Linked DNA regions of Arabidopsis thaliana. The protein of the gene in region 3 purifies or fractionates together with the protein of the main gene of each other region. This does not show direct contact. Each region holds a gene or a part of one and is shown on either strand. Other genes may lie near its edges.

The links. The genes of interacting proteins can lie anywhere in the genome.
Region 1: the proteins of AT1G80750 (region 3) and AT2G42650 fractionate together in Arabidopsis thaliana (co-fractionation; one large-scale study listed by BioGRID). This does not show direct contact.
Region 2: the proteins of AT1G80750 (region 3) and AT3G58660 fractionate together in Arabidopsis thaliana (co-fractionation; one large-scale study listed by BioGRID). This does not show direct contact.

Annotation. Positions count from the first base shown.
Region 1 is NC_003071.7:17,760,985-17,768,708, reverse strand, and holds AT2G42650 (Ribosomal protein L1p/L10e family), read right to left. Parts: upstream 3,532-7,724; 5' UTR 3,180-3,531; coding exon 2,061-3,179; 3' UTR 1,821-2,060; downstream 1-1,820. Other genes in the region: AT2G42660 (Homeodomain-like superfamily protein), read left to right, coding at 451-673, 759-835, 916-955, 1,033-1,147, 1,241-1,370, 1,462-1,644; AT2G42640 (Mitogen activated protein kinase kinase kinase-like protein), read left to right, coding at 5,001-5,068, 5,292-5,320, 5,417-5,775, 5,907-6,101, 6,347-6,520, 6,629-6,900, 7,030-7,110, 7,549-7,635.
Region 2 is NC_003074.8:21,697,234-21,704,934, reverse strand, and holds AT3G58660 (Ribosomal protein L1p/L10e family), read right to left. Parts: upstream 3,402-7,701; 5' UTR 3,362-3,401; coding exon 2,021-3,361; 3' UTR 1,821-2,020; downstream 1-1,820. Other genes in the region: AT3G58670 (2-aminoethanethiol dioxygenase, putative (DUF1637)), read left to right, coding at 1-88, 423-576, 669-872, 1,121-1,242; TRM7 (GPI-anchored adhesin-like protein), read left to right, coding at 5,716-5,824, 5,904-5,962, 6,079-7,647.
Region 3 is NC_003070.9:30,345,149-30,353,897, reverse strand, and holds AT1G80750 (Ribosomal protein L30/L7 family protein), read right to left. Parts: upstream 5,229-8,749; 5' UTR 5,017-5,228; intron 4,867-5,016; 5' UTR 4,847-4,866; coding exon 4,661-4,846; intron 4,310-4,660; coding exon 4,212-4,309; intron 4,115-4,211; coding exon 3,977-4,114; intron 3,873-3,976; coding exon 3,770-3,872; intron 3,683-3,769; coding exon 3,464-3,682; 3' UTR 3,334-3,463; downstream 1-3,333. Other genes in the region: NIP6;1 (NOD26-like intrinsic protein 6;1), read left to right, coding at 1,883-2,125, 2,222-2,446, 2,653-2,847, 2,925-2,986, 3,066-3,258; AT1G80745 (Transcription factor TFIIIC, tau55-related protein), read right to left, coding at 5,577-5,698, 5,824-5,875, 5,972-6,022, 6,101-6,184; CMT1 (chromomethylase 1), read right to left, coding at 7,067-7,220, 7,324-7,427, 7,518-7,587, 7,687-7,730, 7,820-7,918, 8,002-8,114, 8,185-8,275, 8,357-8,443 and 2 more.

The sequences.
Region 1 (7,724 bases), on a different chromosome or scaffold from region 3:
TATTCAAATTCACCATATTTAAATCTTGTTTAAAGAAAGATATTATTTTTAAGAAGTAAAGGAGATAAGTTTACATGTCATTGTCACTAAAAGAACAAACGGATATTTTTCTGGTATGTTAACAAAAATGAAGCAAAACCTAATAACTAATGTGATTTCACCAAACGGAAGATTCCAACACACTTTTCCATTAAAAAAAAACATACAATTATACGTAAACATGCATGACATAGATAAGAATTTTATATATCTATATAATTATATACTATAGTTTACGACAAATAAGACTATATTATATACTTATAAGTGTATATATATGATTATAGCTAGTATTATTGAAGCCAACGCCGAAATTATCATAGAGATTTAACCTCTCTCATGGGTTTTTTTTTGTTTGTTTTTGAGTAATTGATCTCGAGAGCTAGCTAAAGACACTCTCGCCGGAGAGACATGGCCGGGAGATCTTCGCCGGGAAAATGCTCCACGTGGCTTGACCTGAACAGAGAAGAAACAGTGGAGAAGAACAATGAAGAAGAGTCATCAGTGGAAGACGAAGACCAAATCACGAATAACGTTAGACAGTATATTCGGTCCAACATGCCTCGGCTTCGTTGGACGCCTGATCTTCATCTCTCCTTCGTTCGTGCTGTCCAACGACTAGGCGGTCCAGACAGTAGGATTCTTGTTCTCTCTCTCCACGTCTCTTTCTCTCTTTCTCTCTCTCAGCTTTGTAATGTAATTGTTGTATGATTTTAAAGGAGCGACGCCGAAATTGGTTCTTGAGATGATGAATCTAAAAGGATTGAGTATTGCACATGTCAAGAGTCATTTACAGGTAATCTTCATCGTCTGTTATTCTAAGATTATCTCAGTTTTGTTCATCTTTTTCAATGTTTTCATGTTTCTGATTTCAAGATGTATCGAAGTAAGAAGCTCGAGCCGTCTTCTCGCCCTGGTAAGTTAGTTTTGATCCGCAGACATTTACCATTCCTTCACTGGGTTTCATAATTGATGGAAATGACTTTTGAACAGGATTTGGAGCTTTCATGAGTGGACAAAGAAGCTATTTGATGGACATGATCGACTCTCGATGTATCCCTCATAGCGATTTAAGACATGCCTATAACTCTAAAACCGTTCCTTCGAGGTCATACAAAGAAACAAGTTCCAGTTACTAAAATGTTTCACATTTGTATATCCGATCCGACCAAGGAAGTTAAAATTGCATTCTTTTCTGTAGGGTACTCAATCAAGACGCGGTCGTTACAAATCTTGGAGGTAACTTTCTTATGCGACCTTCGAGCTGGTTTAGCGGGTTATGCAGAAATGACCGAGACAGCACAGAGAACAAGACTCTGCCTCTACTCGAGGTAACTACCTACTTTCGTTTTAAGAGTTATAGAGGAACAGTTTTGTTAAAAACCGAGGAAGGTACTGTAATCTTGGTGAAATCTTATGCAGATTAGGAAGAAGAACAATGAGAAAAGAGTCCGAGATGAAGAAGTATCATCAGTCAAACGATTGAAATCAATGTCCGGAGGTGGGATACAGTTGCCTGAGTTTGGAAATTGCAGGCAAAAACCAACAGATGATATCAACACAATGCTCTCGCTCTCTCTGTTGTCGACATCATCAGAACCGTAACCAACATACTAGAGAGATGAAGTTTAACTTTAAAAGAGATTCAAGAGTAGAGACTTTTGTTTTCCTTAGCCGTTTCATGGGATGAGTACTTAGCCAGGATCTGGATCAGGCTTGAGTCAGATCCTGCAAGTACTTATCCTTAGCGGTTTCTCTGCATTCAATACAACACCAATTCTGGAATGCAACAAAACACATGTAATAATATGTTTCCTCGTCAAAACCACCAAATCAACTACATGGCAAGTCACTAGTTTGATGAAATAGTAAACGATAATAAAAGTCCTAAATATATAAGAATCATGATGATGATACCATAATAAGACAAAGTCATAATCAGTATCCAAAAAAATCACTCAAGCAGAAAGAATAGAATACTTAGTTATAACGACATTAATATAAAATCTTCTTTTCTTGGTTCACCTCCTCTTAGTCTTAGCTTTGAATCCACCACCAGACTCATCAATGTCCTTCTTTAGCTTTTTCGACTTTTGCCCATTCTTACTCTTCACAATGTCTGGTTTCCCACTCACTGCAGACTTACTACTACTCATCTTCTTCCTCTTCTTCTTATCTCCAGAAGCATTGAGATCATCAGCAACCTCATCTTCTCCAACACTCCTATCGAATTCATCATCACCAAGAGTCTCAGATACATTACTATCCATATATCTAACCTCATGAATCTTTCCATTCTTCTTCTTTGTCTTCACACTCTTACTACTACTATCATCAACATCACTTTTAGCTAATCCTTCACCATTCTTAACTTCTTCAACACCTAAAGGATCAATCTTGAGCTGCAAATAAGGCACTGTCTGATATAATGGCAAAGATAAACTCTCAGATAACTTCAAATGCAAAGATCTTATGTATTTCCACCTACTAGGCAAAACATCAACAACACCATTCAAAGTCGCCGTCACATTCTCAACGATATCATCGCTTTCCATGGACAATTTCGCAACTTTGATCGCACTACAAGACCCAGTCCTCATGAAGAACATAGCAGCACCACAAGCTTTCTCAATCTGCTCTTTCCAATTCATATGCTTCAAATCAATAGCCACAGGAGTCTTCTTGCTCTGAAAGAACTTCTTCCCAATCAATTTTGGCAACATAGGAATCACTCTCCGATCTGAGAAAAACATATCGTATGAATCACAAAGCTTCCGTTTCGATTCGAATGATCCATAATCCGATTTCAGCTTCGAAAGCTTAACAACTTTCGTGATTGGTATGTTCTCTGATTTGATATTCTTCTTCGCATCTTCCTCGGTGAGACCACTTTCAGGTCTGTCGTCGATGATGAGACAGAGCTCCGGTGAGTCTTCGGTAGTGTTAATTAGCGGATGCGGGAGAGGAATACGATAAGCGTTCGTAAAATTCCTCTGTGGAATCTTCTTTAGGGCTACGACTAGGTAAAAGAATCCGTCTTCTTCTAGAAGCTGTGGCTTCTCCGTCCTTGATTTTTCGTTTCCCTCTTTGACCAGAGCCTTAACTGCATCGTCCACAGTCTTGGGACTTACTCTTGACATAAGTGGTGGCGGCGGTTGCGGCTGAGCTGCGGTGGTCGGAGGAAAAGAAAAGTTATTTAGGGTTCTGTGAAGGAAGATTCAGGGTTTACGGAGGACGATGACTTTTAAACGAGTTTGTTTTGGGTTTCTTAAGGCCCATAATATTGGTTAATGGGCTTAATTATATTGTTTTCATAAATTGTCCTCAAGTTTTTGCATCGGAGAAATCTTTTCTATTAAACGAGTTTGTTTTGCGTTTCTTAAGGCCCATAATATTAGTTAATGGGCTTAACTATGTTGTTTTATAAATTGTCCTCAAGTTTTGCATAGGAGAAATGTTTTGAAGATTTTTTTTTTGTGTGGTAAGAGAAACTTTTAGAAGATGGTAATTGGTAAGATTTAAGATATAGGAAATTATGACAAACTAGCTTATTTTATCAATACATGAAATCTTTTTTATTTCATGTTAATGTAGATATAGATATAAATTTAAAATATGAAATTAATTATATAAAATATGAGTCATGTAGTACTTGGCTGTCATTTACCATACTTGTCTAAAACGTACTTACCAAATATATTTGATGCTAATTTTTATATACAAAGAAATAAAGTATATACACCTGGACAATATAATTATTAATAAAATTGTTTTCTTTATTTTCAAGTTTTTATTCCCTTCGCAAAATGTCTAATTCCTCTTATAGCTCTTCAAACTTTAAAAATAAATATTTCTTTAAGAAAAAAGTGAGAATCACATTAATTGAAAATGTCAATATTTAGATAACCAAAACAAAATTCTCAAACACTTTTCTTTATGTAAGTACTATATAAATGGAGGGATTTCTTTATAAACCAAAATGTGTGATATCTTATTGAGTTCATTGAGAGAATACATGAAATGATAGAAATGTCAGGTTTTTGACAAACAAAGAAATAGCCGCACTGCCAAACACTTTGATGATCTGTTGTTGTTGACGTGTAAGTATCATAATCAACATCAATATTGAAGTAGGATGAATTCTCTTGAGTCATTCTTATTGCAATCTTTTTCGAAGATTGAATACATTCGTTGATTTTCTATTATACTCTTTTCAAAAAAAGTTCATCCTCATTTTTCATCAAACTCTTGTTAGATTCTTGTTCATTTACATCATCCTCTTTTAAGAAATCTATCTCATATGCATGAACAATCTGATAATATATTGTCATTCATAGTGTAATGACTATCAAATATGTATCTTGTTTCGAAGATCTTTGAGATAGAAATGGATGACAAAAACAATCCATGTAGGTAGAGGACAAAATTGTACTTATGAAATATATCCTGTGAATAAGTGCTTCTCGGCACGTGACTCATAATCCCTCGCACGTGACTTGCTTCGTCACTTTCGTAAAACCCCTTGACTGTGTTTTTGCTTCTTCCGCCATCAAAATCAAAACTTTCAAAACCTCCAAAATCCAATTTTTATCTCATGAATCTCTGTTGCAAATCTCTATGCATATACGTACACATACTCTATATGTGTGTACGTTTAGCTCTTTGTTGCTTGATCATGGCAATCTTCAGATCTCTCTTCTGTCTTTCTCTTGTTTCGCAGTGCGATTTAAGCAGATTGATTGCTGGATTTTGGAATTGGAAGGACGTTTATCTGCTTTCTGTGAGTTTTTTCATAAACCCTTATTCTTCTTTTGCTCTTTAGCCTTTTCTTATATGATTTTAGACCGTTTGGTTTATGGGTTCTTGTGTGTTTGAATCCATCGAAGTTGGTGGGATTTTATTTTGAAATGGGTTTTGAAATCTATGCAGGAATTTGAAATTTTGCAACCGAGGACTTGAAAATGGGAGCTAAGTGTTGCAGAGGTCACCGAGGATCAGTGGTGGAATCAAATGGTTCCGTGATCTTGTCGTAAGTTCTGAGGCTGAATTATTGAAGTGAATCTCTTCTATAAGTATCGAAAAGTCCAACACTTTGAATAAGTTTTGTAGCCAGTCTTTGAGAATTGTCTACTAGTTAAATGCTTTGATAAGGAATATATGGAATGCAACTTAGTATGTCACTGAAACATTTATTTCTGCAACAGTATATCCGAGTCTATATTTACTTAACCATTCTGCTTTTGCCTATGTAGGTTAGCTGACCTAGAGGTCCAAGCTACTGGTAAGCGAAGTTTGATTCTTAATATTTTGGTACCTACGTTATTCGTCTTTTCTTGAGTGAAACCTATGGGCTAAGGAGACACTCTTGTGATTTTAGACCTTAGGGAGATGACTGTGGTAGAGGCAAGAGATGCTGCTGGACCATCAGAACCAAGACCTCCAAGTCCTACCTTGAGGCCTTCAGAAGTTGAGGAGACATCCGAGCCTGTATGTCAGGGATCACTAGTAGAAACCTCTAATACTGATGATGCTGGACCATCAGAACCAAATCCACCAAGTCCTACCTTGAGGCCTTCAGAAGTTGAGAAGATATACGTGCCTGTATGTCAGGGATCACTAGCAGAAACCTCTAATCTTGATCAAGATGGGGTGTCAAGTTATGAAGCATCGAATATTTTTTGGAGTACTGGGTCCTTATCAGACCCGATCCCAAGTGGTTTTTACACTGTGATCCCGGTAAGCTATCTTTAGGTTGGTATTATCTTTGTCCAATAATATTTCAGTTAGCTTTATTAATGCTTGGTTACGTGCTGCTGTTTGTCAACAATCATTTTCTTATCTTATTATGTTGTTGAATTTTTCAACAGGTTGAGAGATTGATGCATTTTAAAAGCATTCCTACATTGGAAGAAATTAATGCGCTGGGGGAAGATCGTCTTAAGGCTGATGCGATTTTTGTAGATCTTAAGAACGATATACAGCTTGTTTTGATAAAGGAGTTTGTCATCAAACTTGTCACAGGATTGGACTCCGATAAAGTTATTAAGAAAATTGCTGGACTGGTAAGAATGGGCGAGCATCTTTTTATCATCTCATTTTCTAGTGAACTAACTTTGGCGACAATGCATGTCATTTTGTTACTTTATCTTATCGCTGCATGCAATAAATATTTGGTTCTGAATAAGAAAACAAATAACTGTAATCCCATTTATTAGACTCTTAAGGCACATCACATTATTTCAGCAACCTCATTATATTCTTTTAGATTATCGGGAAATCTGAATTGGATTTTTCCTTCTTATGGCAGGTGGCAAATATATATAAAAGAAAAACTCTGCAGAGTCCGGCAAGAACGCTGCAATATTTTGACGTTCAAGGGTTTACCCTGCTAGGACAAATCAAGCATGGTTCTTGTCGTGCACGAGCAATCCTCTTTAAAGTTCTAGCTGATGCTGTTGGTCTTGACAGTAAGCTTGTAATGGTATGTACTGTATAAAAACGTGATCAGTGGCTTTGGTTATAACTCCAATTTCCTCATGTCATTGATTGGTTCTGATAACTTGGCATTTCGGTTAAATTTCTTGATCAGGGTTTCCCTACTGATCTGAGATTTTCTGCTAGCATCGACTCATATAATCATATCTCTGCTGTGGTTGAGCTCAATAATGTTGAAATGCTAGTCGACCTTAAGCGATGTCCTGGTCAGCTTAAACCCTTCTCACCCAAGGCAGTTTATATGGCTCATATCTCAATGGCATGGCAGCCTGATTTTGTAGACAATAACCCTTGTGCTTCACCATTGGAGCCAAACAGTCCCATGGAACGGTCTGGTCCACCATCTGCATTACAATCCGGTTTAAGGTGATAAGCATACTTGTTTAGTTTTCTTGATTATGTTTGTATATTTGCTACCATATATATCTTATGTTTCTCTATAGGGCAAGCAAAAGCGTTATGCACGTATAAAAGTAACTTTTGTTGTTTCCTCAGTCGTTCACTAGGCGAGCCAAACATAGCTACTGAAGTTTTGCGGAGAAAGGTCATCAAGGAACCGCCACCTGCTGATTTCAGGTTAAATTGTTAGTCAATATATATTTCCTTTCAACAGTGGTGTAGTTTTGATAAACTTTTTCAATGCTAAGTAGTTGTATATAGATTCCATGCTACTTCTCTCTTAAAACTTGGGTGTCGTCATGTTCCCTCAAATTCTGTCAATTATCTTTATTGATAAAAGGTGAAATATGGTAACCATTAAAGTCCATTCTAGTCAACTACAATGCAAGAGCTATGAGTTACGTTGTGAGAGTATTGGGCTTAACTATCAGATGAGGTGAATTCAATATGTACTGCAATTGATGAGTTTGCTTCAAAAGCATATATGATTTTTGTAGCTGCAAAAGTTCATGGCATTTTCTTAGTCATTATTGTCTGGCTTACAAGAACGTTTTGGCTGAAAAAAATGGTTGTAATGCATAAAGAAGGCTGATGTTTTCATTTTTTAATGTGCAGTGGTAACTCAGGAGCAGCGGAATCGGAAAGTAAGAGAACAAATGGAAGGTGTATGAATACTCCTGATCTAAACAATGACATTGCCAGGCAAGTGTTTGTTTTATAAGACAAAAAAACATGTGTTCACAGTCATCCTTATGTTACCAAATGAGGTTGCTGTCATTTCGTTTTTTATT
Region 2 (7,701 bases), on a different chromosome or scaffold from region 3:
GCCTGGTCCTGGGAACGAGCGTAATGGAAACCATCATTCTCTGCCAGCAATAAAATACCTTCAGTTACATGAGTGTGACAGCTTCTCGGTGAGCAAACATTCTTGCAGGATGGTATCGCATGTAGTTTTCACCTTTTAAAGTTTGAGTCTGCCTTCATCGATATAGTCAGAAATTGGCTATGAAATCTTGAGAGTAAGTGGGTAGGCATTAAAGTTTAGGTTAAGTAGAAGTACCTAAGCTAGATTTCTCATGTTGAAACCAAATTTCTCATCATCACTAATCATTTTGGTTCCTGGTATGGCCCTTGCCTAAGCCATGGAGCAACACGCTCCACATGTTTACTGCAGTTAAACAAAGTTCTGAAATGCAATATTCTTGCTTTACTTGTCTGCTTATTATGCTTTGATCATTATTTTGTCAGATTGGAATTTTCTGCATGCCACCTGGGTCTATCATACCACTTCATAATCATCCAGGCATGACAGTGCTAAGCAAGCTTGTTTATGGTTCAATGCACGTTAAGTCATATGATTGGGCTGAGCCTGACCAATCAGAGCTAGACGATCCATTACAAGGTAAAAAGTGACTTGTAAACTGCCCCAGTATAACTTCCGTGCTATATGAATCATTTCAAAATGAGTAATATGTTGTTCCCTTTTACTCATAGCAAGACCCGCGAAGCTGGTCAAGGATATTGATATGACTTCCCCTAGCCCAGCAACCACTCTATATCCAACAACCGGTGGCAACATTCATTGTTTCAAAGCCATTACTCATTGTGCAATCTTCGACATCTTATCTCCTCCATACTCTTCTACTCATGGCAGACACTGCAACTACTTCCGAAAATCCCCAATGCTAGACTTACCTGGTAAAATATCACAAACTTCACGAAATACCAGTTTATAACTTCTTAAAAGTGCTACTATATTTCGTAATGTAACAGCTTTCATAACAATTTTGGAAGAATCATGGTTTAAACCACTAGGTTGTTGATTAGAGAAAAGGTCTCATACTCTCATAGAACATGCTCATTATCTGTATTGCTAAACAGATTTGGTTTAAGACTATCATTTGTTACTATGGCAATGTTGTTGATGACATCATATGTGAAACCAGGTGAGATTGAAGTGATGAATGGAGAAGTGATCTCAAATGTGACATGGCTTGAAGAGTATCAACCTCCAGATAACTTTGTGATATGGAGAGTTCCGTACAGAGGTCCAGTGATTAGAAAATGAGAAATACAAAAAGGATTAAACATATTAAAAAAGAGCAGAAAGAGAAAGGTGCTTATGATCAGGAGAATAATTGGTAAACCATTCAGAGGCTGGCTGCATAATGGTCGAGGTTCTTACATAATTGTGACCACATTAAGTTCCAGCCTATGTCGTTGTATGATAATGTTTACTACATACAACTTTATGATTACTTCACTAGTTTAATATTATAATTTTTTCCCCCTATTTTTATATGCAGCTACACAAAAAATTGCTCATAAACAGTGTTCTATTTAGTTATCATAAATTTTGTTTCCATTGATCTTTTGCATTTCCTTATTTCATGTCTTCTCTAGATCATATCAACTTTTAATTCTTCTTATGACTGAAAGACGAAGCCTGAAGTGCTGTGCTGGCTTGCGAGTAATAAAAAAACTCATGCAGATTTTGGGTATAACTGTTCTAAGAGACCTCTATATGATTTAAATGGTTAAAGCTTTGGTGAGCCATTTACTAAGAGATGGGGATCAAGATCATGCAAGTACCATCATAACCTGATCAATGCTTATTGCAATAAATTCAGATAAATAGTCTTTGTTTAGAAAGAAAAACCTTTAAAAAGTTAAAAGGTGAACAGTAGTATGTTTCCTCCACAAAACCATCAAACCCACATTCACCAGTTCAATGTTTCATAGAAGTAGTACAAGATATGAAATGGCTCAAAAATGTAATAAGAACTACGATAGAAAATAAAACATAAATCATACTCAAAAGCAAACACTCAAGACCTTCCTCTGCCTCATTTCCTAAGCACACTCTTTCTCTTCGGCTTCAATCCACCACCAGATTCGTCTTTCGCAACCATTGTTGTCTTTTTCGCCTTTAAGCCGTCCTTGCTCTTCTCCAGCTTCACAACATCTGGTTTAACTTTCCCCTTGACCGCAGCTTTCTGCATAGGTTTCTCAACATCGGGTTTCGACTTCCCTTTGGCAGCTTTCTTCATCGGTTTCTCAACATCAGGTTTCAACTTCCCTTTGGCAGCTTTCTTCATCGGCTTCTCACTCTCTGCAACTTCACTTACCTCCTTCTTCCTCTTCTTCATCTTCTTCTCCTCAGACTCAACAATCTCATTATTATCCTCGTCACCACCAATCTCATCCTCATCAAGCACCTCAGCTACATTACTATCCATATACCTAACCTCGTGAATCCTACCTTTCTTCTTCTTTCCCTTCCCTGTAACACTCTTCTCTCCACCATCAACAGCAACAACTTCTTCAACTTCACCTTCCTTCTCCTCCTGAACAACACTCTTTCCAGACCCAAAAGCATCGATTTTAAGCTTCAAATCAGGAACAGACTGATATATAGGCAAAGCTAAACTCTCAGACAACTTCAAATGCAAAGACCTAACGTACGTCCACTTATTAGGCAAGAACTCAACTAGTCCATTCAATGTCGCCATCACATTCTCAGTAATTTCACAAATATCCATAGACAATTTCCCAACCTTAATGACACTACACGTCCCAGTCCTTATGAAGAACATAGCAGATCCACAAGCTTTCTCTATCTGATGTTTCCAGTTCCTGTGCTTCAAATCAAGCGCCACCGGAATCTTCTTGCTCGTAAAGAACTTCTTCCCAATCACCCTCGGCAGCAGAGGAATGATCCTCCGATCAGTGAAAAACATGTCGTAAGAGTCGCAGAGTTTCCTCTTCGCTTCGAACGCCTTGTAATCACTCTTCAGTTTCGAAAGCTTAATAACCTTGGTGATTGGAATATTCTCAGATTTGATCTTCTTCATCGCATCATCTTTGGTGAGACCACTTTTAGGTCTGTCGTCGATGATGAGACAAATCTCCGGCGAATCGACCGTCGGGTTGATAAGAGGATGAGGTAAAGGGATACGGTAAGCATTCGTACGGGTCTTCTGTGGAATCTTCTTCAAAGTAACGAAAAGGTAGACGAGCTCGTCTTCTTCGAGAAGTTGAGGCTTCTCTGTCTTTGATTTGTCGCTTCTCCAATTGATAAGACCATTGAGGGCGCTCTCCACTGTCTTGGGACTCACTCTTGAAGTCTGCGAAGCGTGAACAAGTTGCTGCTCCTGCGGCGGCGGCGGCGAAACTGCGGTGGTCATGGGAGGGATTGAGGAAGAGAGAGTACAGAGATTAGGGTTTAAGGAGGAAGGGGACAGAAGAAGGATTTATCACTGATATATTATTTCCCTGGGTTAATGGGCCTACCTTTATTTTGGCCCATAATAGTTTTCTTATAAAGATGGGCCGGACTTTCTTCTAGTGTAACTTTTCTAAAGGTTATTTTCTTATAAAGATTGGCCCATATACGAATTTCGACTATCTCTTCCGGAAAACAGTCTATTTCCTCGACACATCATACTAGATAGAATCTGATTTGTGAGCACGATCTATATGTCCTCGAAGAAATAATTTTATATCTATTTCTTTCCGAAACAAAAGTTCAATATCTAAATCTTCTTGAATTAATAGTTATAGATCTAGAAATCCACGAGATTTGGTTTCAACGATTTTTAAAATAGAAACTGTTTGATTAAAACTATTGAATATCAATCTTTTAAAGTCGATTTTGGAGATAAAAAGAATCAACAGAGAAATAAGTATGTTGGAATTAGGGATCTAGGAAAATTTAAAATTCTCTATTATTCAATAGTTTACAAAAAAATCAATAAAAACTATTGATCTAAAATAATGATTTTTGGAATTAAAAATAAGAAATTAAATACTCAATATATATATATATATATATATATATATATATATATATATGAGTCAACCTTTCAACCATGTTGGTTTGTGTTTTGTCATTGTCTCTTTAACTTTCTCTCTCTGTTTATTAAAATATTTCGGTTTGTAACAGCTAGTAAACTACTGATTAAAAGTTTTGAAATGTTATTAATTTGATTTTATTTTCGGAAGTTTAACTTTGAAAAGTATGAATTCACTATCGGCTCTGCATTGTGAGATTCAAGTCTTCATGCGTGTAAAGCTTCCTAGGGATTTTATCGAATTGTTCAGACATCGTTCTCATATACTCTACTCTCTTTGGTTTCGCTACTTCGAAGCAACTCAAACCACAACAACTTCCTCTACTCATTTATTCTGTTTTTAAAAAAAAAAACTGATTGTGAAATATCAAGAGTCCAAAAAAAATTTGAACTTTTAAGTAATTCGAATCATAGAATGCAGCATATTACAAATATTCAAAACTATACGAAAGTGGAGCCCTTGTGAGACGGACACAAATATGAATTGTGGTAATGCCCAACGAAATAATTTTATAATAATCAAAATGGAATATTAATATATACAGTGATTGCACTGTTTACAATAAAGTCTTTGCCTTTATTTTTCTACACCTGAAAATTGAATCGTTATGACCTCTTTTAAATTATGTGTTTTTTTTGTCCCCTAACCAATTCAAATTCTCTTATGTTTGAAACTGCAAACTGAACTGAAACATGTATAAACATCATCAAGCTATATATTTCCATCTGCATTGGATACCAAATATAAACATCATCAAGCTTGTGACAAAAAAAAAAAAAAAACATCATCAAGCTATATATATTTGTAGATGAGATCATGCTATATGTATAAAAGCCAAAATAGTTGTTGAAACAAAAGATTTTCCTTTTATGTATAGAAAAAAGAAACACTTTTAATAGCTCAAAGGAGGGAGCTTTCAGTTTCCTAAATTCAAAACTCTCTTTGTCTCTGTCTGTCTTTCTCTCTCTCTCTCTCTTTGCAACGGCTCTCTCTGTCGTCATTTCAATTCAAACTCAGCTTCTCTCATTTTTTTAAAAACGTCTCTTGCTGCTTCTTCACTTCTCTTAGCTCACTACCCAAATCCCTAATCTCAAATCTGCTTTGAGCCTTCCTGATCTTACGCATTCCTCCAAAACCCCCCAAATATTTTCTTTGTTTTGTTTGTCTGATTTGATAAATCTCATTTTGTGTTTTTATCTTCTTCCATGGTCGTTGTTCTTGTTCTACAGTGCGATTCGTGAGCTGAGAGAGATAAAAGTGGAGAGCTTTGGTCGATCTTTAGGGCTAGATCTCCCAAAGCCACCATTGTTTCGATTTGGGTCAATCCAATTTGCAAAACATCTCTCAGCTGTGTCTGTCTGGGTTCTCATTTTGCTGAATTCGGTATAGGGTTTCTGCAAATTACACTTAATGGATGGATCCATAAGTAAAAAATGAGATCTTTGGCAGCCTGAGAAACTGAGAGGTAATCAAATTTCATTCCTGATCTAATTTCCTTTAATCTTCTGCTATATCAATCACATTCTCTATATCCTTCAGCTGAAATTGGGTGATTCATTATAATAAAATGGAAAAGTTTTGATCTTTTTTATCTGGGGTCTTGTTGTTTGATGGGATCCAGCGTCTTATAAGTGCATTCCATTGAAATTAAACTGATTCAATTGTTTTGATCCATAGGTAAATTAAGATGGACGTCGTTGAGAGAAAAAGACCAAGAGGAGCGTTTCTAAATCTGTTTGATTGGCATGGAAAATCCAGGAAGAAGCTTTTCTCTTCCAATCTCTCCCAACTCTCTGGTATGTCTTCCAGCTTTTGTTGTATATATAAGTTAAGGTAATGAAGTTTAATAATCTAAAGTTTCTTCTTTTAAAACAGAAGAATCTAAGCAAGCAAAAGAGAATGTTCAAAACCCCTCTATTACGCCGCATTCTGTTGTAAGCCTTTTCTTACTCAACACCATTTTCCTTGTTTGATGCAATGTTTTGTTTTGTGTTAGTTTACTGAATGACATGAACTATTTGTGTTCTTTGGTGTGATCTGTTTACAACAGTTTGAAGTTGATCAGAGTGTAAAGAACCCAACTTACAACCCGAGAAGTGACTCTAGCTGTTGTGCTTCATCTGTTACTAGTGATGATGGAAATGTGGTTAGAGCAAGTGTGGTAGCGAGGCTTATGGGTTTAGAGGGTTTACCACTACCAAACGTTTTGGAACCACGGGTTAATCCTGATCTTGATCCATACTTTCTCAGATCCTCGCGCCAAGCAAACACTTGGGATGCTAATGTTGATCGTCAGAGTGACTTCGATGGTGTTTCTTGGGATCATTTGGATTCAAGAACCAGTAAAGGGCCGCGTAAACGGATGATTGAGCGGTTTCAAACCGAAACTTTACCCCCGAGATCAGCTAAACCGATCTCTGTCACTCACAATAAGCTCTTGTCTCCAATAAGGAATCCTGGATTTGTTCCATCTAGGAACCCTGCTTATGTAATGGAAGCTGCTTCAAGAATGATCGAGCAAAGTCCACGGATGATTGCAAGAACACGGATGGTGTCATCGTCTGATTCTTCTTCTCCAGTTCCATTGAGGATTCGAGATTTGAAAGAGAAACTTGAAGCTGCGCAGAAAGCGTCAACTTCAGTTCCTCAAATCTCTAATGATACTCGGAACAGTAGGTACCTAAGAGGAGATCAAAACGAGAAGAAAACTACAGTATTGGGGAAAAACAGTTATGATGCTTTGAAAGGTGGTGAAGTGAAGCCACCTTCTTTCGCTGCGCAAGCAAAAGTCAGCAGTAATCAGAAGCAAGACAGCTTATCAATGTCTTCAAGTGGCAACAAGAGGATGTCTTCGGGACAAAAGGAGAAAGTGGAAGCTAAGAATAGGGCGGTTAAAAGCCAAAACAGTAGCAAAGGATCTTCCTTGAGTACCGGAAAGAATGTGCTTAGGCAAAACAACCAGAAGCAGAACTGCAGAGACAATCAGCAATCCAGGAGAGTAATGAACAAAGTAGTAAATAAGGTTCTTGTGGAAAGTGGATCTATATCGAAGAGCTCAGGATTTACTATGTCATCAGCAGAAAAACCCACTTCTTTACCTTTATCCCGCAAAAAGAGTCTTCCTCGAAGCAAAAAACCGCGGAATGGAGTGCAAGAATCTGGAATTTATGAAGATAAGCGGATCAAAAGGGGTGAAAAGTCGATAAAATGTAACATTTCCATTGATGGCGACTCGAGTACTAGTAAAGATGATCAGAAAAGGGACATGGATGTGATATCTTTCACTTTCTCATCTTCGATCAAAGGTTTATCATCTCCTCATTCACAAGGAACCAAACAAGATGCAGACTCTGCTATAAGGTTCAATGTGATAGGTGGTGATTCTTTAAATGCGCTTTTGGAGCAGAAGCTCAGGGAATTGACAACGAAGATTGAATCATCTAGCTCTAGCTTGATCCAAGAAGAGCCCTTGAGTTCCATTTCAAAAGATAGAGCGAATGCGATGATTTCATCGCCTTCCAAATATAGCGGATTGACTCAAAGCAGTCTTGATAGAGTTTTAACAGAGAGTGAATCTGTTTCTGACTGCACTTCATTCTTTAACAGCCAGAAAGTCCAGGTTAGTTTCCATAAACTATAGCTTCACTATTCTATAATATCGAATGCTTTTCCG
Region 3 (8,749 bases):
GGGACAAAATAATTTGGACCGGACTTTTGACAATTTTATTCGACCCTACAACATTTCTATTTACACCCCCTCCCCTCTACTCTTAGATACATCCCCTTCAAAATCATTATCATTTCTTTTACATTTATTTGTTTTCCTCTTTACTTTTTTTTTTGTTTTTGTTTTTGAAGTCTTTTGACCATCTATCATTTATAGTCACTAATGTTGTTATTAACATGCACATAAAAATTATGCTATATAGAATTGTCGAATATATTACAAGCATTGTGTTTAGAAAAGTAACTAATCAGACTTGAGTAATCTTTTTACAACGAAGTAAATGGATTCACTAAAATCATCCAAATTAATAATGTATGAAATCTCACAGTTACTATGTCTGTGATGCCCTGCGATGTGACGTGGGGCTTTAGAACAAACAGTCGCTTCACATCTTTCAAACGGTCCTGATTTGTTCCTCCACTCCCAACAATCTATTTCCACCACACGCATTAATACATTCTCATGATTTATTGTTTTGTTTCGATTATATCTGCGTTCTCACTGTACCAAATTTTTATTCTATGACATAATGTGATTTAACTTGAAGGGAATGGACGAAATTTAAATGACTATCTTAGTCTTAGGAGGTATATATTCTCCGGATATATAGACCTCTTATCTATATCTACACATAGTTTTTTAATCTAAACCGAGACCACTAGCTCACTCCTCTACTTATTCTATAAAACTTAGAAAAGGGTATGTATACTTGGGCATAAGTTATAAAAGCGAATAAGGTTCAAGAAACTTATACCTTAGAGAAATAATTATAATTAAATCTTGTTCCAAGACACTTCAATTCATAGTCATACGATTGTGAGGACAAAGCAATAAATTAGTGTTTTAATTTTGATTCTAAAGAGTTGTGACGGGTCATCACAGATTCTTCGTTTTTTTATAGATAGAAAAGGAATAACGTTAAAAGTATACAAATTATATGCAAGAGTCATTCGAAAGAATTAAATAAAGAGATGAACTCAAAAGTGATTTTAAATTTTAATGATAAGAATATACATCTCACAGAAATCTTTTATTTGACATGTAAAATCTTGTTTTCACCTATCTTTTGTTAGTAAACAAGAATATTTAATTTGAGCCTCACTTGGAACGTGATAATAATATACATCTTATCATAATTGCATATTTTGCGGATAGTTTTTGCATGGGGAGATTAAAGGCTTAATAAAGCCTTGAATTTCCGAGGGGAGGAATCATGTTTTATACTTGCAAACTATACAACCATCTGCATCGATAATTGGTGTTAATACATGCAAGGATTATACACTAAAACAAATCATTTATTTCCTTACAAAAAGAGAGTCGACTGTGAGTCACATTCTGTGACAAGGAAAGGTCAAGAACCATCGCTTTTATCATCATTCTCTTTGCTAACAACTTACAACCACACAAACGCAAGAGTTCCATTCTCATGGAGAAGAACATATTATGCAAAATAATGTATGTCGATCGATAGAGAAAAGGATCCACAATTATTGCTCCATCTCAAAAGCTTCTTTAGTACACGATACATGTATCATGTAAATAGAAATATGAAAGATACAATACACGACCCATTCTCATAAAGATAGCAACATTTCATGTTATGTAAAGAGTCTTCCTTAGGACACATGCATTAAAACTAAGGATTACCAACCCACTTACTCCTCACTCCAACCAAATATCAATCATCTATTTTGGGTCCTTCACTCATAAGTCAACTCTCATGCCTTCCTCTATAAATACCGTACCCTACGCATCCCTTAGTTCTACATCACATAAAAACAATCATAGCAAAAACATATATCCTCAAATTAATTAGATCTCATCTATCTCTACCCTCGACATGGATCATGAGGAAATTCCATCCACGCCCTCAACGCCGGCGACAACCCCGGGGACTCCAGGAGCGCCGCTCTTTGGAGGATTCGAAGGGAAGAGGAATGGACACAATGGTAGATACACACCAAAGTCACTTCTCAAAAGCTGCAAATGTTTCAGTGTTGACAATGAATGGGCTCTTGAAGATGGAAGACTCCCTCCGGTCACTTGCTCTCTCCCTCCCCCTAACGTTTCCCTCTACCGCAAGGTACATATGTACACATTCTCATTACAAGTACACTCCATATAAATCATGTTTCCAATTCACTGAGCATTGAACCAGTACATATATGTGCTTGTAAAGTTGGGAGCAGAGTTTGTTGGGACATTGATCCTGATATTCGCCGGAACAGCGACGGCGATCGTGAACCAGAAGACAGATGGAGCTGAGACGCTTATTGGTTGCGCCGCCTCGGCTGGTTTGGCGGTTATGATCGTTATATTATCGACCGGTCACATCTCCGGGGCACATCTCAATCCGGCTGTAACCATTGCCTTTGCTGCTCTCAAACACTTCCCTTGGAAACACGTCAGTAGTTTAATCTTATTTGTTTTAACACATTTTTGGATGTTACTGAGAGAACCACATGAAATCTATAGACATGCACATGCATGTTGTATTATGAATTGAATTTTAACATGGGTAATAAAAGTATATATAAAATCTGATCATATAAAAGGGGTTCTATATAATTGTTATAAAAATAATAATGTTGGTGTCTAAATTTATGTTAGGTGCCGGTGTATATCGGAGCTCAGGTGATGGCCTCCGTGAGTGCGGCGTTTGCACTGAAAGCAGTGTTTGAACCAACGATGAGCGGTGGCGTGACGGTGCCGACGGTGGGTCTCAGCCAAGCTTTCGCCTTGGAATTCATTATCAGCTTCAACCTCATGTTCGTTGTCACAGCCGTAGCCACCGACACGAGAGCTGTAAATTACTTATAAAAAACGTTTTTGAAGAGTCTTGAAATTTTGGACGTCAATGAAAACTAATCACAAGATTACAGGTGGGAGAGTTGGCGGGAATTGCCGTAGGAGCAACGGTCATGCTTAACATACTTATAGCTGGGTAAATAAACCATCATTTCTTGAATTCAGTTCTTGTACATAATAATACATGTTACTGATCATGATGTTGTGTCCAACAGACCTGCAACTTCTGCTTCGATGAACCCTGTAAGAACACTGGGTCCAGCCATTGCAGCAAACAATTACAGAGCTATTTGGGTTTACCTCACTGCCCCCATTCTTGGAGCGTTAATCGGAGCAGGTACATACACAATTGTCAAGTTGCCAGAGGAAGATGAAGCACCCAAAGAGAGGAGGAGCTTCAGAAGATGAAAAACACTCGCTTCTATATTACTCTGTTTACATCACATAAATATATGTGTATAATATAATATCTGAAGTCGACGATGCTTATAAAATTTGGAATGCCCTTTAACCAAAATTGCAAGTGTTTCATCAAAATGGTTGGTTTTTAGCCTCGTACAGATCTTTTAAGGAAAATATAGTAAGTAGCTAGCGATTACAACGATTGCTGCTTCTAATTCATTTTGCTGATGAGATCATTGATCTTATCTTCGCGGTTTCCGGTATCTCCTCCTTCGCTGAAAACTTGTTTCTTCCGGTGCAAAACATCAGCCACAGGCTTGTTGAGTTTCAAGGGTCCCAAGAATCTCATAACTTCTCTGAAATGATCTCCGACTCTTGCTATCTCATTCACAAGGTCTTCTATGCCCAAGATTTTGTGTTCTCCTAGAGCCTAAGGTAACAAAAGTGGAAACGATTAAGAACAGCATGGTTATTATCTGGAATAAGCTCCTATACTTTTAAGAGTAGGAAATTTTACCTGTTCGATTATATTGTTGTCGGTAAGAGGAACAGGATTTCCCTCAATGATTGTGCATCCCTTTTTGTATATAAGGTCCTTAACACTCTTATCATTCGGGTATCTTCAAGAATCGTAAACATCGGTTAGCTCATACGAGAATAGAGAAACAGCATGGAAATCGAGTAACAAGGAAATATTGAAAGAGGATTGATTGTCTCTACGTACCCATAAGTGACATAAGGCTGCACTTTGAGAAGCTTTTGGAACAAACTGTCAGTTGCTTTAGCAAATACACCAGTAAAGACGCTCTTTAGTTGCAAATTGTTAAGAATCCTCTTGGTCTTTGGGTGCATATCATTCTTGCTGGTCACCAGAAAGAAAAGGCAAGGATAAGAAACAGGCAGAGATAAAGATTAAAACTCCAGGGGGAAAACAAAGCTAATTGGAGAATATCAAATACCCTTGAATGCGTATGATGAAAACCAGGTCAGATTTAACTGGTGGAGGAGATGACTTTGGCCTCTTTACTCTTTGCTTCATCCGGATCATATCTACTTCCTTAAGTAGGGATAAAATTAGCAAAAAGGGAACAGTTAAATTACAGAGAACAATGCAGGATTGACAGAAGAAACAACAAGTCCTAAGCACAACCTTGCAAAACTAGGGAGAAATCTCAAAGGAGAAACACAAAATTATCTGTAGAAAAGTTACAGTCTAAGAGATAAGTGACAAAACCTAATCATAAAGGTTGATGTATAGCTTTAATTTAACTCAAAGAATAAGCAAAAACAAGTTCTTCTAAGGTGTAGACAAAAGTCAAGAAGCAAAAATCAGAACTTGAGGCAGTAAAACGAATGGAAAAAGACAAAGCAAAAGTTTTTCAGAGAATCTGGAAAAAAAGAAGTGTACCTTAGCCCTGAACTCATGAACAAAATCTTCAGGACGTTTGATATCAGAGACTTTCTTCTTCTTCTTGCCGGAATTACCCAACTCAAGTTGCTTCTTCCTGATAAAGGCAAGCTCATCTCTGTTCTTCCTCTTCTTCAGTACTATCTCCGGTATGTAATCCAAACCCTTAGCTTCTTCCTCAGCCATTATCTCTCTACTCTTTGCTTCTACAACACAAAACAGATTGTCAGATTGAATTTTTTTGCGAAAAAAGTTTATAAACAGAGACTGAACTCAACCCTATAAGAAAGTGAGGCTATAGGGACACCAACAGAATGAACAAGATAAGAAGAACGGAAAAGGGGGAACAAATTTACCGGTGGCGGCAAAGCAATTGGGACGGCGGCTGAAAGAATTCCAAGTCGAAGTTGGTAGCAATGGCCGATTTGAGAAGCCTAGGGTTTATTAACTAAAATCTCTTTTGTGTTATTAACAACTTTGCCACCAGACCTAATTACGCTCCGGGCCAGACTCATAATACTATTGGGCTAAAAAAGCCCAATATTTATGGGCTTATGTAAGGCCTTACTGCCTTTGAATATACCTAGTTTTATTTTATAATATCTTGTGTGATTTTGTTTCTTTTAATTACATGGGATGCATAATTTCTCCATCACTGGTTGATTCAATTCAGTTTTTATTTTATTGACATCATCAGAAGGACAAATCATGAAAACGTACGTTGAAGTTGTGAATCGTTTAGTTACCTTTTGGTTTGGTCTTAGTTTGATTGCTACTTTCAAGAGGCCAACAAAGGAAGATGCTGCATGTGCCTTAGCTACATATATAATCTGTCGGTTATTGTTATAGTTCTTTTTTTTAATATGATCTTTGAAGAAAAGTCAGGTTTCCAATGACTTGAACAAGAGAAAAACTTTTACAAATTGGTTGTTTTTGTTACTCCATCTTCGTTGTCTAATGGTGCTAACCTAAACTTGAGAATCTTGTGGAGTTTGGCAACAGGTTCAACTGTCTTCTTCTGTGGCGTCTGGTTATCACCTTGTGCAAACAGACAAATGAAGAAACCGCAACCCCAAATCAGCATCTTGAAGGGACAGAATAATTACTTGAAACAATAACATGTGTTTCCATGTTTGATAATAAAGAGGAAAAGTGAAACTAACCTTTGTCAGAGAAAGCAAGGCATGTACCAATCGTTGCTATATATTCTCCTACCTGAGAGATCATCAAATCTAACACGATTAAGAATGGTTTAAGCAAAAAGAGTAACTGAACTTGGAAAATTGTACTAGTTGCAAGTAAGAGAATTACCAGCTTCATTTTGCCATCTATGGTCAACACCGGATTCAAAGTATCCAAACCCTATGAGAACCAAACAAAACCAAACTTATAAAACAAGAGAATGCAAAAAGTGAAATGAAAGAATTGGATTGAACTAACTGATAAAGTATAAGGAGCATCTGCTGGAATGTCAATGTGCCTTGAAACGTCATCAAGATCAATCATAACATGTTCATCCTCCATCTCTGTATCAATGTGTTTATTAGGGTGGAGAAGAACACAAAGATATTTATGAATCCTAAAACTTTCTCACTTTCTGAACGCGATTAGATCCAAGAAATTATCATTCTTACATCTCCTAAACAACAAATTTATGTTGAGAATGGTTCACCTCTTTCTTTTTTTCCTTTCAATCTTTCGAGCAAATTCGAAACCCTTCTTTAAGTGAGGGAATCGAAGAACAAGCCTGATGAAGAGGAAGAAACAAAAAAAAAAAAAAAGTAGATCAATTGGTTTCTCTGCTTCTTCTATGTGAAAAATTTGCTCTGTTATGAGATATCAAATTTGGGCCGAATATTATAACGTAAAAGCCCAACCGAAGGAGTGGGGACATTATTTGGGTGAACCAAATCTTTCACCATTATATGGGCTTGTGGGCCTAACTGCCTTCGAATTTACTTAGCTTTTGCGAATGAATGAATAACACTAATAAAAGCTGGTAAGTGGTGATCATTGACCAGAGTTTCGGTCGGTCGGTGGCAACTGAATTACGCAAAATCGAACCAATGTTCGTCGAGAGATCACGGACGTACCTAGCACCTCGGATGCTCAATAACAGGTTTTGTCTGTCTTTTGCTTGGTCTTAATTCTTGTTGGATGGCATCACGTAGGATTGAAGTCTACGCAATAGAATTTGAAATCTTGAGATTAAAAATCATAAGAAATAAAATGGTTCCAAATGATTATAAAGTCAAAGATAAACCAACAAGAAAGAGCTAGACAGTTTAAGCCGCCATTGTTTGAGCATATAGCTCTTGCTAACCCAAAAAATTAAAAGAAAGTCTAGAAAATGAAGTATGATTCCTAAAGATAGTTTCATCATGACGACTTGATGGAGACTGTCAATCAGATTTGATCCTTTGCCTGCATGCATTCGGGATACTTGAATGGCAGCTTGATTACTGGTTCATCATCCGTCAGTCCTTGACTCGCCATACCAAAGGCATATCCTAATGCAACCCCTACAGGAACTGCCACAGCATTCCCAACCTGGATGTACCTACAAAATTTAGATTCAAACCCAGTTTTTACATACATTAGGATCTCCAGTTTAAAAACAATCATATACATAGATAGAAAAGCAGCAAGAACCAAGGACTTACTTTTCCTTAATTGTTCCACAGAGCTTGTAACAATCAGGGAACCCCTGTAATCTCGCATTCTCACGAACAGACAACACACGGTTTTGCATTGGATGGATTACACACTGCATCAACCAGTTTTAATAAACCAGCCACTAGAGAATTCTAAGTGGAACGTACCCAGACACATGGGAAATGAAAGCAAAAGGGCTTACCTGGTTGTGAGGTTCAGCCCTTGTCACAACAGTGTTAACGATTTCATCACCCCAAAGTCTACCAAACGGCCTGAAATTCAGATAACAGATGTGTTACTTTTAATGAATTTAACATTCTTACGTTATGGAAAGAGGATCCACAAGAAGCATATTAGTTGGAGAAACTCACTTTTTTGATTTTCCTTTTATGAATGAAATTGCATAAGCAGGGACCTGTGAAAACCAAAAGACATGTCATATAGAAGGTGCAAAAAGAAACTAGAGCAGAAAAATGATAAGGTTGCGAGTGGTTTATTTTATACCACATTTTTTCCAGATTTCAACTTTGCTCGAAACCTAGGATTAATTTCCGCTTTGTTGTTGTGAACTAAAACACCAGGCATGTCGCGATAGTTTGCCCCCTGTAACAATAAGAATACAATGACATGAACAAGAAATGATTATACATTGAATGCTTGAAGCAAGTACTTTAAAAATGTCGCACCTTCTGTTTTGGTATGTAGGAAACTCTTTCCAAGTCATCATCTCCTAATACGAGGGGTTGGTGATCAAACAACCTGCGTGTCGGATCTCCACCAAATGCGGGTAAAAGTGTCTCTGAAACAAGAAAGATACGTTAGTATTGGATTAGTGGTACCTACCAAATTTACGAGTTTAAAATGCTCACCAGATCTTTTGAGGCTAATAAAGTTCTCAAACTCTGTCTTAGGAGCAGCATCATTATAATCCATTACATCATTTGCCACATAATTTGTCACCTGCAGCACTAAGAGAGCAGTGATCAGACAGATATATTGTAACATAATCATCAATGGCAGTTCTGAAGTTTAGATACACACCGGTGGCAGATCACTAATAGCATCAGCCAGCGTAAGAGCGTTGTCCAATTTAAGGAACTCCATTTGAATACGTCCAACTTGTAAATCCTACATTTATAACAGATGAATAAGCAATGCAGTTATAACTTATAAGAGTCTATTAAATTTAAATGTACAACTGTCCACACTTGCTTTGAATTCTTTAGGTGTGTTGAACTTTTTAGCAACTTCATGTGTTGGGAGGGGATAAGGGGGAAGTTTCTGTCAAACAAATCAAGAGAGAGCAATAAAGATCATGTTCCTCAAAAGACAATATATTAGTGGTAAATATTCTGTAACATATATTTACCTCTGATGGTTGTGCAGCCCATAAAAAAACCCTGTTTCTAAGCTGAGGGAGCCCATAAGATCCAG